Oryzias latipes: one gene and its partners. The protein of the gene in region 3 purifies or fractionates together with the protein of the main gene of each other region. This does not show direct contact. Links are inferred from orthologs where the notes say so. Each region holds a gene or a part of one and is shown on either strand. Other genes may lie near its edges.

What was found. Proteins that work in one complex are often made in the same cells at the same time.
Region 1: the proteins of death domain-associated protein 6 (region 3) and activity-dependent neuroprotector homeobox protein purify together in Homo sapiens (affinity purification with mass spectrometry; 4 studies listed by BioGRID and IntAct, with this or other methods). This does not show direct contact. The link is inferred for Oryzias latipes from reciprocal best matches to the Homo sapiens genes DAXX and ADNP.
Region 2: the proteins of death domain-associated protein 6 (region 3) and baz1b purify together in Homo sapiens (co-immunoprecipitation; 3 studies listed by BioGRID and IntAct, with this or other methods). This does not show direct contact. The link is inferred for Oryzias latipes from reciprocal best matches to the Homo sapiens genes DAXX and BAZ1B.

Annotation. Positions count from the first base shown.
Region 1 is NC_019865.2:4,532,915-4,537,055, reverse strand, and holds the start of activity-dependent neuroprotector homeobox protein, read left to right. Parts: upstream 1-1,333; 5' UTR 1,334-1,852; intron 1,853-4,141. Other genes in the region: dpm1 (dolichol-phosphate mannosyltransferase subunit 1), read left to right, coding at 364-468.
Region 2 is NC_019871.2:22,455,159-22,459,390, forward strand, and holds the start of baz1b (tyrosine-protein kinase BAZ1B), read left to right. Parts: upstream 1-1,424; 5' UTR 1,425-2,066; coding exon 2,067-2,185; intron 2,186-3,358; coding exon 3,359-3,475; intron 3,476-4,232. UniProt on the Homo sapiens protein: Atypical tyrosine-protein kinase that plays a central role in chromatin remodeling and acts as a transcription regulator. Involved in DNA damage response by phosphorylating 'Tyr-142' of histone H2AX (H2AXY142ph).
Region 3 is NC_019869.2:16,001,385-16,005,352, forward strand, and holds the start of death domain-associated protein 6, read left to right. Parts: upstream 1-1,155; 5' UTR 1,156-1,457; intron 1,458-2,812; 5' UTR 2,813-2,840; coding exon 2,841-3,083; intron 3,084-3,446; coding exon 3,447-3,848; intron 3,849-3,967; coding exon 3,968-3,968. UniProt on the Homo sapiens protein: Transcription corepressor known to repress transcriptional potential of several sumoylated transcription factors. Down-regulates basal and activated transcription.

The DNA.
Region 1 (4,141 bases), on a different chromosome or scaffold from region 3:
TTGGGTTTATATTTTTATAACCTTAATCCGTTTAATTTCATAAATCTCAAAATTAAATTGAACAATATGTTTATTTGATCAGTTTATTTCATAAAACACCTAGTTGTTTCACACAAAAGATGCATTAAAAAACAACGAAAAAAAATGTTTTTTAAGAGTATTTTAATTCAATTTATGCTAATCTTTTCTAAAATAATTAGACTGTATATTTTATATGGGCACATATAGGTGATATATGTGATTTATGTGATTTATTACGATCCGAACTCTTCATCCTTTACTTCATTAGTTTATTTAATGGAAGCTCAACAAACCCTTATGTCCTAAATGTTTCAGAGACATTAAAGTTCTTGTCTTTGCCAGGTTCCCATCTCCTTTGTGGACCGCGTCTACGGGGAATCCAAACTGGGAGGCAACGAGATCGTGTCTTTTGCAAAAGGACTGCTCATGCTTTTCGCCACAACATGATCATCTTGAGCTTTTGTAGTGGTCTCTCGGTCTTCAGGTCTGTGCGCAGAAATGTACCTGGATTATCAAAAAGTGGCACGGCAGCTGATGCGAAAAAAAGACGTGTCCCGGTTGGAAGCCTTTTCACGCACAGAGATTCTCCCATGTTGTTTCACATTCCCATCACTTTTTGCAAAAAAAACGGTTTAATCATTCCTAAATCAGACAATTCACAGAATGAAGGCGTTAGGCTGGTTACAGTTTAAAAATGTTTTTGTTTGTTAAAAATGATCAAGTCTTGCTGGCTCCTTTGTTCACTTATTATTATTATTATATATTTTTTAGTTTAGTTCATTAAATCTGAAGCAGGACTGTATAGACAACACAAATATCAAGGACACTTTATTGTAAAATAGGTGTTTAACAGTTTGAGTTCAGGTGTGATTAGCAGCAATGTAAAAGGAAAAAACAATTGCTCAATCTGTCTGGTCAAAATAAAGATGTTCTGGGAATATATTTGGATGTATTTTTTAACACCCTTTTTATTAGGAGCAACCATAGATTGTAAAAAAAAAAAAAAAAGACTGTTTTCACAGTCTGTATGGGAGTGAGCCTTTATCTCTGCTGCATTTCTTAGCGCCACCTAGTGTTCCGGCTGGGAACTTAAGTGCTGTACTCAAGAGAGTGGAGGAAAGAGGGTACACCAGATGTAAGCACAGCACGCATGCGCCGACTTAACCAAGCTAGTAGGACGCCCGCTGTCGGTTAGCTTGTGTAACTGCTTTTTAGGGTTGTTTATCCTCCACATGGCCTCTCTCAAAGCCTATAAAGCTTTTAGGCCTCAAAAGTATGTAATTGTTAAGGAAAATGTAATAAATAACGGCTTAATTGGCCGCTGATTGATGACAAACCAATCAGGGGCTTTCATTAGACGGCACGACCCGGGATCTCACAATAAGATGGTTTATGCTAATGATGCCGACGTCACTTCCGCCCCTTTATTTGCGCCATTTTGGATAGGGCAGTTTCCAGGCTGGATGTGTATTGTCTGTCAGGAGAGAATGGGCAAAGTGGATTCCGCTTCCAGGAAATTATAGGCAGAGTTTAGAGCATTTATTCACAGGAGCGGGCGAACCCGGTCGTTGCGCCCGCAGCGCTCCGGGGAAACGAGCCTCGGAATTATCTGATGAAGCTCGCGCGCCCACCGTTCCTGTTTGCCGACCACAGGGAAGAAAACAGCCCTCGTTGGAGAGGGACAGTCGGGTTTGGGGGGTAGAGCGGCAGCGGGGGCTTGCTATTCACCTCACGAACGAAGCACCTGAGCGGGCGAGAGCGGAGCAAGTGTCCCCACATCGCGGTGGTCGGGCGTAGTTCGGTCAGCCGGGCGCTGCGGACGCGAAAGCAGGTAAACTTGGAGGTCCTCCCGCGGGGGTGAACCCCGGGTGTTCGCCGTTAACCGTGGCTACCTGCTGGGTGGCTGCTAAGGTAACTCGTATACGAGGCGGGTGTTTATATGAACAGGGCGGGTCTCTGTAAACTCCAATATCTTTCAACTTCTTTATAAGGAAGTAAAATAAGAGTTTGTGGTTGATTCTGAGGCGACAGTAAGCCTATTCCGAGTCCAGCCCGTTGGTGCTTGTTTGTTAGCTTAGCGGGCTAACAGAGCGCGCGTGCGCCCTACTCTTTGTCGTTCTGGATCCTGCCAGATGTTGGACATCCCACAGATGTGTTACGGGGCTGATGCCGCGCACTCTGAGTGGAACTCAAGGATCTCTTCAGGTTTATTGGTATGGGCTCCTAAACGGCTCCTCAGAGGTGGTGACAGCTCAGCCTTCCCCCAATCCAGGGGGAAGGAGGGCTGCTGTCATTTTTTTCTGCGGGACGTAGTTCATAAGTTTGAAGAAAGTCCAACATGCAGAGGCTTCAGGATGCAGTAGCATTCAATTAATGAAACCTTTGTGGAGTTATGAGCAACTGCAAGAGTCAACACCCTCCTTATATTTAGCATTCTGTAGAATATTAATATTTCCGGACTGAGTTTGAGGTGAAAGTCCGTCCATCATAATTGAAGATTGGCATCCAGCCTCCTCAGAATCAAGGAATGAGAAACTTTTGCAGCTGTTGCAGTGGATGGAGACCCCCACCCCACCCCAGAAGCTGCGTGCACACCTGGATGGTGCTCCAGCATGTGCTCCCAGAGAGAACATGGCTGTGTCCTGCTGCTGCAGGAGATACAAAGGCCTCTTCATGTTGGAGGAGAACCCGTTTTCTGCCAGCAGAGTGGCCTCCTCTAGCATTTGCTCCCTCCCTCCTTCCTTCTCTCCTCCCTATCCTTTTTTCCCTCTCCCTTCTCCTCATCCTTTGCCCCCTCTTGCTCTCACCCTCTTCCCCCACCCCCTCTCCCCTGTTTTTCCTTACCCAAACCAGCCTCACTTCCTCTGCTCACTCCCCCCTTCCATCTCTCCCTCACACTTCCTTCACACTAGCTGCTCACCCCCCCTCTCCTTCTCTCACCCCTCTAACCCCCCCTCCTCCATTCCCTGCTTCTCACTCCTCCTCTTCCTCCCTTCCAACATCACTCCCTCCTCTCCTCTTCTCTCATCCCCTCCCCCTCCACTGCAGAGACCTTTTTGTAGGGGGCTGCTGCTTCCTCAATAGGAGGCGCCGTTCTCCATTGGTGTTATGAGGTGGGGGGGGGGGGGGGGCAGGCGGAGTGAAGGGAGGCTTACATAATGTCACTCCTCTCCAGCGCCATCTACAAGAAGGGGAGGGAAGCAGGAAAAAGGCCGAAGTGGGAAGTGGACTGAAGTCTGCCTCTCAGTTTTTACAGGTTATGGGGGGGGCGAGGGAGGCGATGGCAGCACCCAGAGTCCTTTGGGTGGAGGAGTGAACCGCCTCAGGTGCTCCCTGGACATGTTTGGCATCCAGCAGTTGTTTTTCCACTCTCTGTGACCTTTGACCTTCCCGCAAAGCGCCAATCACGTTTAATTAGGTGAACTGTTTTAGCTGTAGGTCTTTTCCAATCTGACCATTTGTTTTCAGCCACAGAACTTTCTGTTCCGGTTCATGTTGACATCCATATTTCAGTGGGTTTTCAAACAAATGCCCACGATTATCATGAGTATTCTGCCCTCTAAACACGCTTCGGTAAACAAAGAGGTTATTGACTTCAAAGACCCACTCCAATGAAAATCGTGTTTTTGGTGTTCTGAACAGGTTCCTTTGGTGTTTAATGTCAGTATGGAGGACATTTATTATGAAAATTGAGCTTAAAATTACATTTCTGAGAAAAAAAAAGGCTGTTGGAAAAAGTTGGTAGCTGTGACGTAGAAGCTGCTACGGCAAGCTACAAGCTTCCTGCTCGATTTTGATGAGTCAACATGTAGACTACTAGATCCATGATTTGGCACCTGTCTCAAACTTTGATCAAATTGATCACCATTTTTAATGCACTGGTATTGTTAGGTTGGGGTTGTGAGGGGCTGTAAGCTAGCGGAAGAGAACGTAAACAAAGGGATGATCTGAAAGGGATAATCATGATTAAAAGACCACTGGGAACTCTTTGAAAATGGATCAAAAGATAATTGGAGTGGGAATTTATATGTTTAGGTTTCTACCGGTTACTCTGAATCATTGATGAGGACTCCTGAGAAACCTTAACGTATTCTGATTTAAATTGAAAATTTCTGATTTT
Region 2 (4,232 bases), on a different chromosome or scaffold from region 3:
AACAAACAGTCCCATGTTAGGTTTTTATTTAGGTTTTTTTCTGCAGTTCCTGAATTGTTTCCTTTTTGAAGGATGATGAGAGAAATTATAACTTCAGAGAAACTAACTAAAGTGATTTACACATTAATACTCACTGAAAGAAATAATCTTCTCAAAAACAAGTTAAAAAATATTGAATACAAAATGTTTTTAATTCTTGATATGAGTGAAACCAATTGGGTGATGGAACAAATGAAACTTTCTTAAGAGAAGTTGTAATGTTCTGCCCTTTTAAGAAAAAAACAGGTCTTGAAAATATAAGCACTAATATTTAGGTAAATTAATCTGGTTATTGGAAATATATCTAAAAATGTATGTTTTGCTTGCAAAAATAAAATGGTTCATTGACACAACCGTCCTACCCCCATTGTTCTAATAAACAGTCCAATTCTTTTTAGACCATATATTCCTCTTAGAGAAAGACTGGAATTAAACATTTTAAAACAAGTTTGTCTTAAAGATTAAATGTATATTTGTTAAAACAGTCAAATAGATAGTTTCAGTTTTCTTAAATCAAGCAAGTCTGTTTCTCGTAACAAGACCCCTCACTGTTCACAATTAAAAATGCCATGTGTTAAAAGTGTAAAAAAATACTATGTAAAGTAGAAAAAACGAAATAAAGTAACAAAAACATGTTAGGTTTGAAAAAAAAGTAAGATAATTAACTATATAAAGGTAAAAATAGACCAAAATAAAGTAAAAAAAAAGAAGCTTAAAGTATAGTGTAAAGTAAATTAAACCTTAAAAATACTGTGTAAAAACTCTTTTAGAACGCAATAAAATATTCAAGATTTACTGCGTCACAACAAGTCTTCACATCTTACTGAGAAGTTACTAAGGGGTTTATCCAGTCTATTATCCAGTCAGTGTAATGAAATTCTTGAAATCCTTGGTGAAATTTGGTGTTTTTGCTGTACAATCCTGTCTCACCGTCAGGGGCTGCCAAAGACAACAACGCTTGGTGAGCCAAATTATCTAACTGTATGTGATCACAACCCAGATTTTATTTTATTTTTTATTTTTTTAACAAGGCTATAAAAAAGAGGCACACCCTAGGCTGCAGTGGATACGTTCTTTTCAGTTCACTGTAAAAACCATTTTGTGTAAAACTTGGGGGGAAAAAAAGTTGTTTTTTTATTTCTTGATTTGTTTCAAACTAAATTAATTTTGTTTCTCCTAAAAGCAAAGTGCCTTCGATAAAAAATAATAATAAAAAGAATAACAATTTATTATTGCTCCTTGGGAAAAAAAACGGTTTATTTTTAAGTGGCTTCCCGACTCTTATAATAGACAGGTTGTTTCGACCAATCGCAGACCGCTAAAGTAATTCAACAAGGCCGCTACACTGGGAGGACCAATAGGAGTCGAGAGTGGGCGGGGAATAACTGAGGCGCCGCTTGCTGCCGGGGAAACGGGGTGCTGAGGTTTTACACAACTGTGCCGGTGGACTAGAAACTCCCGCCATTTCGACAAGGAATTAACCTCTTGTTTGATTCAGGTTACTTTCGCGTAACACTTGCTGATTCGGAACTCGTATGTTTGGAAAGTCTGATCGTTAAGCAACAAGGTCACTTTTAAAGAACCGAGAAGCTTCTATTTCATAACACTTTACCGTCGTACAGCTACCTCGACTGTTGCCGCGAGTTTGTTTTCGATTCGTGGAGCTGAAAGTTTATAAACTGTCAAGAGGGGTAACTCCGGGTTTATTACATATTAAGACATTGAATTTGAACCAGCAACCCGTCGTGGTGAGGGAAGTCCTATAATGGTGCGATGAGGCCGGAGCTGAGAAGTGCACTGTTATTGTTTTGTAACGAGATAGCAGTCCAGCCTGTTAGCTGATCGGCTAGCTGCTGCACAGTGAGAGCCGGGCCTGCCGGCGGTAACGTGAAAGGCTTCATCGCTCGGAATAGACCCTACGCGCTCTCGGATACATGATAAGGACACATCGGCGAACCCGACATTCGTAAATTGTTGCTGGGAAATACAGTTACACCTCCGGCAACCCTGCCACCTCTGGATTTCCTATGGCACCGCTTTTGGGCCGGAAACCGTACCCACTGGCTAAGCCTTTAGCCGAGGCTCCAGGCCCGGGAGACGAGGTCTACATCATCGAGCACACCAAGGAGGCCTTCAGGAACAAAGAGTATCCTGCTTCACCGTGATGCTGTTTTGGGACAGCCTTAGCGAGCCAGGGGTTATTTCAAAGTAATAGTTTTAATAAATCGTCTGTCCTAAAAGTGACAAATTCGTGCTCTAAGAGACGTTTATGTAGTTAAAGATTTTGACTCACGCTGACTTTTTCCCCCCTAAATGTTTCACCGCATGTAGAGTTAACACTGGGGGACGAGCTAACAGTGGTGCTAAAAGTCACGTTTTAGCTAGTAGTTAACAGTTTATTTAAACCAAAAATTATAGTTAATAGGATGCTACTTGTCGCATTTAATAGTTTTATTCACACACACATAGACTAATCTATAAACATTTGTGAAAATCATGGTTTTGCTTTTAAATTGGATAGCTTTCTGTCATCGATGCTAACGCGGCTGGCATGCTAACGGTAGGTGTCCCATTATGTCACCGCTGCTAGCCGTTGCTGTGAGCACAAACATCTTAAGCTCCTGCTTAGCCTAGTACGCATTAGTTGTAAGTATTTTAAAAAAATATATATATTTTTAGGTTTATTTTGAATCAAGTAGGCCAAGTGCAGTTGTTGTGTAACTGCTTGTTTTGCCTGTTGGGTCATGATTAGACTGTGTATTATTTGGTCCGCTAAAGCTAGCAAGGTTAATCGGACGCTCTGAGTGAACGGAGGCAGATTTTTATTGTCGAAATGTCTTAAAGCTCATTATATTTCGCTTTCGTTTGGGGGAAAATCTCGAAAGTGTTTGATGTTAACAACTAAGGTGTTCAGCGAACCTCACTGGTCTTCTCCTGATAACACCGTGAAGGGGACTTTTGAGCGGCTCCTTTAACTACACCTGACAAAATGTGGTCCCATAGATAGAACAGTTTTTTTTTTAAATGTCACCTTAATCCAATGATATAATGGGATTATGCTGGGTTCTTATGCATTATTCTGAAACTCGTTGAAGCATCTATTCATCCTAAAATCTAACTTTAGATAAAATAAAAAGATAAACTGACGTTTAGGGTGAATTCTGTCAGCAAAGATTCATTGTTTTATGCTTTTGCCTATTAATTTTTTCCTGTTTAACTGGTTAATTAATTAATTTTGTATGTTTATTTCACTCTTCATGTTTGTTTTGCTCTAAAAGTGGAACTGTAAATCCTAATTGCCTTGACCAAGTGTGCACAGAGAGTACGAAGCCCGATTGCAGAAGTATGGCGAGCGCATCTGGACATGCAAGAGCACAGGAAGCCTGCAGCTCACGCACAAGGAGGCGTGGGAGGAGGAGCAAGAAGTCACAGAACTGTTAGTATCAGAACCACCGCCGAAACCTTGGTTTATTGTTTTTCCCCCGGTCTATCAAGTTTGTAAAACAGCCTGTACTTAGATGGAGAAAGTATTTTTTTTTTTAAAAGATGGCTTTGCATTTGACAAAGAAATGTCAAGTCATATTTTTACTCACTCTGGGAATTATCTCTGATAAAAGCATGTCAAAGAAGAGACTTTCCCTGAAAGATCTGGCTTTGTGGCAGTTCAAAAGCCTGCTACACCTCCCTTGACAGATGAGTGAGTCATCACTCGTTTCTGCAATAGTTTGATGGTAGTTCCTGTATCCTGGTATTGAGAAACCGAGGTCTAACTTGTAGCAACCTTTGACTTTATTCCTCCGCTTGGATGTCACTGCAAGCGATGCGCATTCACTTAAAGTAAAAGGTCGTGTCATTTGTTTTTTTGAGTACCGGTAATTTATTTTGTCTGTAATTAGTTAATAAAAATTATCTAATTTTGTTCTCAGATAATTGCTGCCAAAAAGCCTCAGTTTGAGGTGAATAAAAAATGGCTTTCTGAAATCTTTTATGATAACAGACTTCAAACCTTTGCTTTTATGTCACCAGGATTGTTTTTTTTAACTCAAACAATAGAGAAAAAACCAAAACATTCGGTCCAGACTGCTCTAATTTAACACATCAATAAACAGTAGGAACACTTTTCTGAACAATCCCAAAAATCTTCACCACACAACGTCTAATTAATACCACAAGACGCATGTAGACGTTGCTTA
Region 3 (3,968 bases):
TTTACAGAAAATTATTTGACCACCCCTTTCTTTTAATGTTCTTATCTTGAAAGCATGACATCATAAAAACCGAAAGAACGCTTCAAGTTTCACTTTGGGGATTTCTAAACTGTGACTGGAGGCTGTGTTTTGTTTTGTTTTTTGAGAAATATGTTTCACTGAAGATGCAAAACAACTGTCCTAATTAATAAAGTAAAGCACGTTTGTAAATAGGAAGCCCAGAATATTTGTACATTGTATTACAATTAATGAATGTCTGTCTTTTTTTGTGTGTTTGTCAAAGTTCTGCTGAAATGTTGACAAAATTGTTGTAAAAATTCCAAAAATAAAAGGTTGTAAGAAGTCATTTTAATTGTGCTTTATCTGTCCATTTCTAAACGTTTATTATACTTGATGGCGTGGTTCTCCAAGTTAACTCTTCTTACATTTGGACATAATATGCATCATGATTAACCATGTTTTAACCAGCTCAGTGGCCTTGTGGTAGAGTGTCTGCCCTATGACTGGAACGTCGTAAATTCAAATCTAGGCCGAGTCATACCACAGACTCTAAAAATTGACACTCAGCATTAAGGGGGTGAATCCAATCCAGTTCCTGTGTACGGTTGTGTCTGCTGCTCACAGTCAAATGCAGAGAACAAATGTGTGACATGTAATGGTATTAACCAGGTTTAAAAATCACTTTATTATGCCCTACAAATGAGGAGTCTGAATGCAAGAAAATAATCTAGAATAGAGGAAATTTAAAGCTAAAACAACTGCAGCTTACGTAGGCAGCTAAATAATAGACATACTTTTATTACATCTTTTAGAAAAAACAGCTGCAACTTCCAGCTTTTTCTGCCACAATCATCACAAAAATGCATGTGAGATTGCGGAGGGACTGTACATCATGCAGACTATGAGTTGGATGCTGATGTGCCGCGGGATTTTTGTCAAGGATAAAGCGTGCTTTGGCTCTAAAAAGGTTGAAAAACACTGATCTAGAGCGCTCAGACACTCTGCAGTTCACTGTTTTTTCCACTAAATGTCTGTTTTGTTGGAGAGTGTACTCACAAATCGTAACGGAAGATCCGTAGAAGAAGACGTAGTGTTGTTGTCTTCCACTCTGGCCAATAGCAGACATTTTTACTGGATCTTTATTCTTTCCACCAATGAGAGGCCTTGGCATTGGTCTGAGTGTCGCGGGCACATTTTCGGTTTCTAGCAGTTCGTGGAGCTAAATTTACGAGATCTAAATTAGCCAAAAGACTTTGCTATCCTAAAAAACGCATCCATGAAGTATTAATAACTTTAATCTGTTAGTTAAATAACCAGGAAATCATGCCGTTTTTCCTATATTCCGTTTGGATTTACAAGAAAAGTTACAGTAGCTGCTCTGTTGCTAATCTTAGCTTAAAAACTGCTGTGCGTTCCTGAAGAGCAACATTTACGTTTCTATTGTTCCTGAATAAAAGGTGAGTGTTTTAATAATATGCACCCAGTCGTGTTTTCTCAGAATTATAAGCACCGTATCTGCCATGTTTTGTGATCAGTTTTTACAAAATTTCCTTTTGTTTTCACTTTAGATTAAGTTCTGTTGAATATTCGCCTTCATTTTTTTTCGTTGACCAGAAAACTACGAGAGAGACAGACTCAGGATGTAAAAGTAAACAGGAAAAAATTTTGGTAATTAAAGTTGATGTAAATCAGATAAGGCTACTAGACAGATTTTTTTTAATGTTGAATAATCAAAAGCAAAATAGACATCAGTGCTATTTGTCGTCGAGCCATTTCATTTTTGCATTCCGAGCATTTTCGTCTTAAAAATAAGTCTAATTTGTGTCGATCAGGCAACAGAAAAGTGCCATTTCTTTGTCTGCATCTCGGTATTTTCAGGTCAGCATTGCAGCCGTGTGGACGATTATTATTGCAGTGTTTTTATCTTTTTGGATCTTTAATAATCCTGTTTCACTGTGAGACGTTTTTGTCCACATTCTCACCAGATACCGTGTTGTGTATCTTTCTCTCTCAGCATCTCAGTACATCATGACCCATGCGTTGAGATTTTCATCTGTAAAATATATAACTAGCTTTGTGGCAATACAGTCCAATCCTTTAATGAATAAAATCTAGATTTTTATTATTCATTTGACATTTAGAACTATAAATTCAACAGCTTCCACGATTCAAACCTGCATTTAGGGCCTTCTAGACTGTTCTGTTCTTTATGGTTAAAACATCTCATATTCATTTATTCATACATTGTTAGAGGTGCTGGGAAAAAGGAGGGCTAGTTTTGTGCACACAACATCCCACTTATTTATTGTGGTTCAGTTAGTTTTCATTGATAGAAGCAGGCTTGTGATTGGACGTCTTGTGTTTTGGTCACTCGTGAAAAGGGCAAAAACAGTAGAGTCCACACCACGAAGAGAAACTGACAACGTTTACCAGAAACAACGTTTTTTTATTCCTGATGAATTTTATACCTTTTTACCAACATAATCATGTGTTCATATCTGTGGTTTTCATTGGACAGACAACTGTGCTTCCATTCAGGCTCTATGGGTTTGTTTATAAACATTTAAAATAAAATAAGCCAATTAGTAATAGATTTTTTTATATAAATTGATTTTTTTGGACCCCTGATAAATTATTAGTTGCTGGTTTTTGTAACAAGGACTAAACAGTAGGAAATAAGTTGTGAAAAATGTTTTTCACCACTGACCCCCCAATATTTACTAATATATGAATAGATTTTTGAAATCAATAATCCTTCCACGTCTTGCTTCTGTACCTTTTGTCACGACCAGCGTGTTTTTCCTGTTTGCAGATTCACAGCAGAATCCGTCAGGGTTTAGATGGCGGTGGCTCCTGCCTCAATGGGAGATGAGATCATAGTTCTGGATGAAGACAACGAGGACAGCCCCCAGCCCTCTTTTTCCGCTACTACTCCCTCCTCTGATCATGGCTCCAGAAACGCCTTACCGCCCAAAGGTCAGCACTTGGTGGCCGTGCACGCCGCCATGTCCCCAAGTCACCAAGTCTCAGGGAAGAAGGAAGCTCAGGGTCTTCTAGCTGAGAATCAGAAACTGTTCTCTGAGGTGAGCTGCTTCAGGTTTTTACTGAGCCCACCCTCTCTTCTGTGGTCTTCTTCAACTTCTAAAATAAAGAATATTTTAACACCCAGCAGGTTTTTGTTTGTGCTAATATTGCTGATATCTACTGTTTTTTTCCTTAATATTTTGTGATAAAATATGTTTTTATGTGCTTCGGAATAGATTGTTAGAAACATTTAAGATGTTAAATTGTTGAAAGCTTTTACAGTTCATCTGTTTGACTTTCTCTGTGAGTCACAATTGAATCTTTTTCTGTTTTGTAAAAGTCTTATAAAGGTGTAATATGAAAGGTGTAATGATCTGCATGATTCATCTTCAGTGTTTGATTCTCTCGTGTCTTTCCTGTAGTTTGTGGAGCATTGCTCCGCTCAGACCAAGGAGTGCCCGGAGGTCCTGGAATACCTGCAGCTGAAACACTCCAAGACGTGTCCAGAGTTTCTGTCCTCTGTGGAGTTCAGGAACACTCTGAAAGGATGTCTAACTCGCGCTCAGAACAACCGCTCCAAAACCTTTGTCTTCATCAATGAACTGTGCACGGTGCTCAAACAGCACAGGGATAAAAGGAGACTGACCCTCTCCAAGGCGGCGCCCTCTACCTCAACATCAGCTTCTGTTCAGTCTACCTCCGTTCCCCCTAACAGTGAGAAGAGGAGTGACGAAGAGCAACCTTCTACTTCTGGAGTGCAGGAAGACAACAAAGAGCAAGATCAAAAAGAGGAAAAAAGAGCTAAAAGGGCCTCAAGGAAACAGGTCGGTACAGACAATAAACCTAAAAAAAAAAAGACAGTCAGTGTTAATCCTGTACTTGTTTTATTCCTGAAATCAGACGATGCCAGACTAAATATCTGGAGCACATGTCTCCCTCTCAGA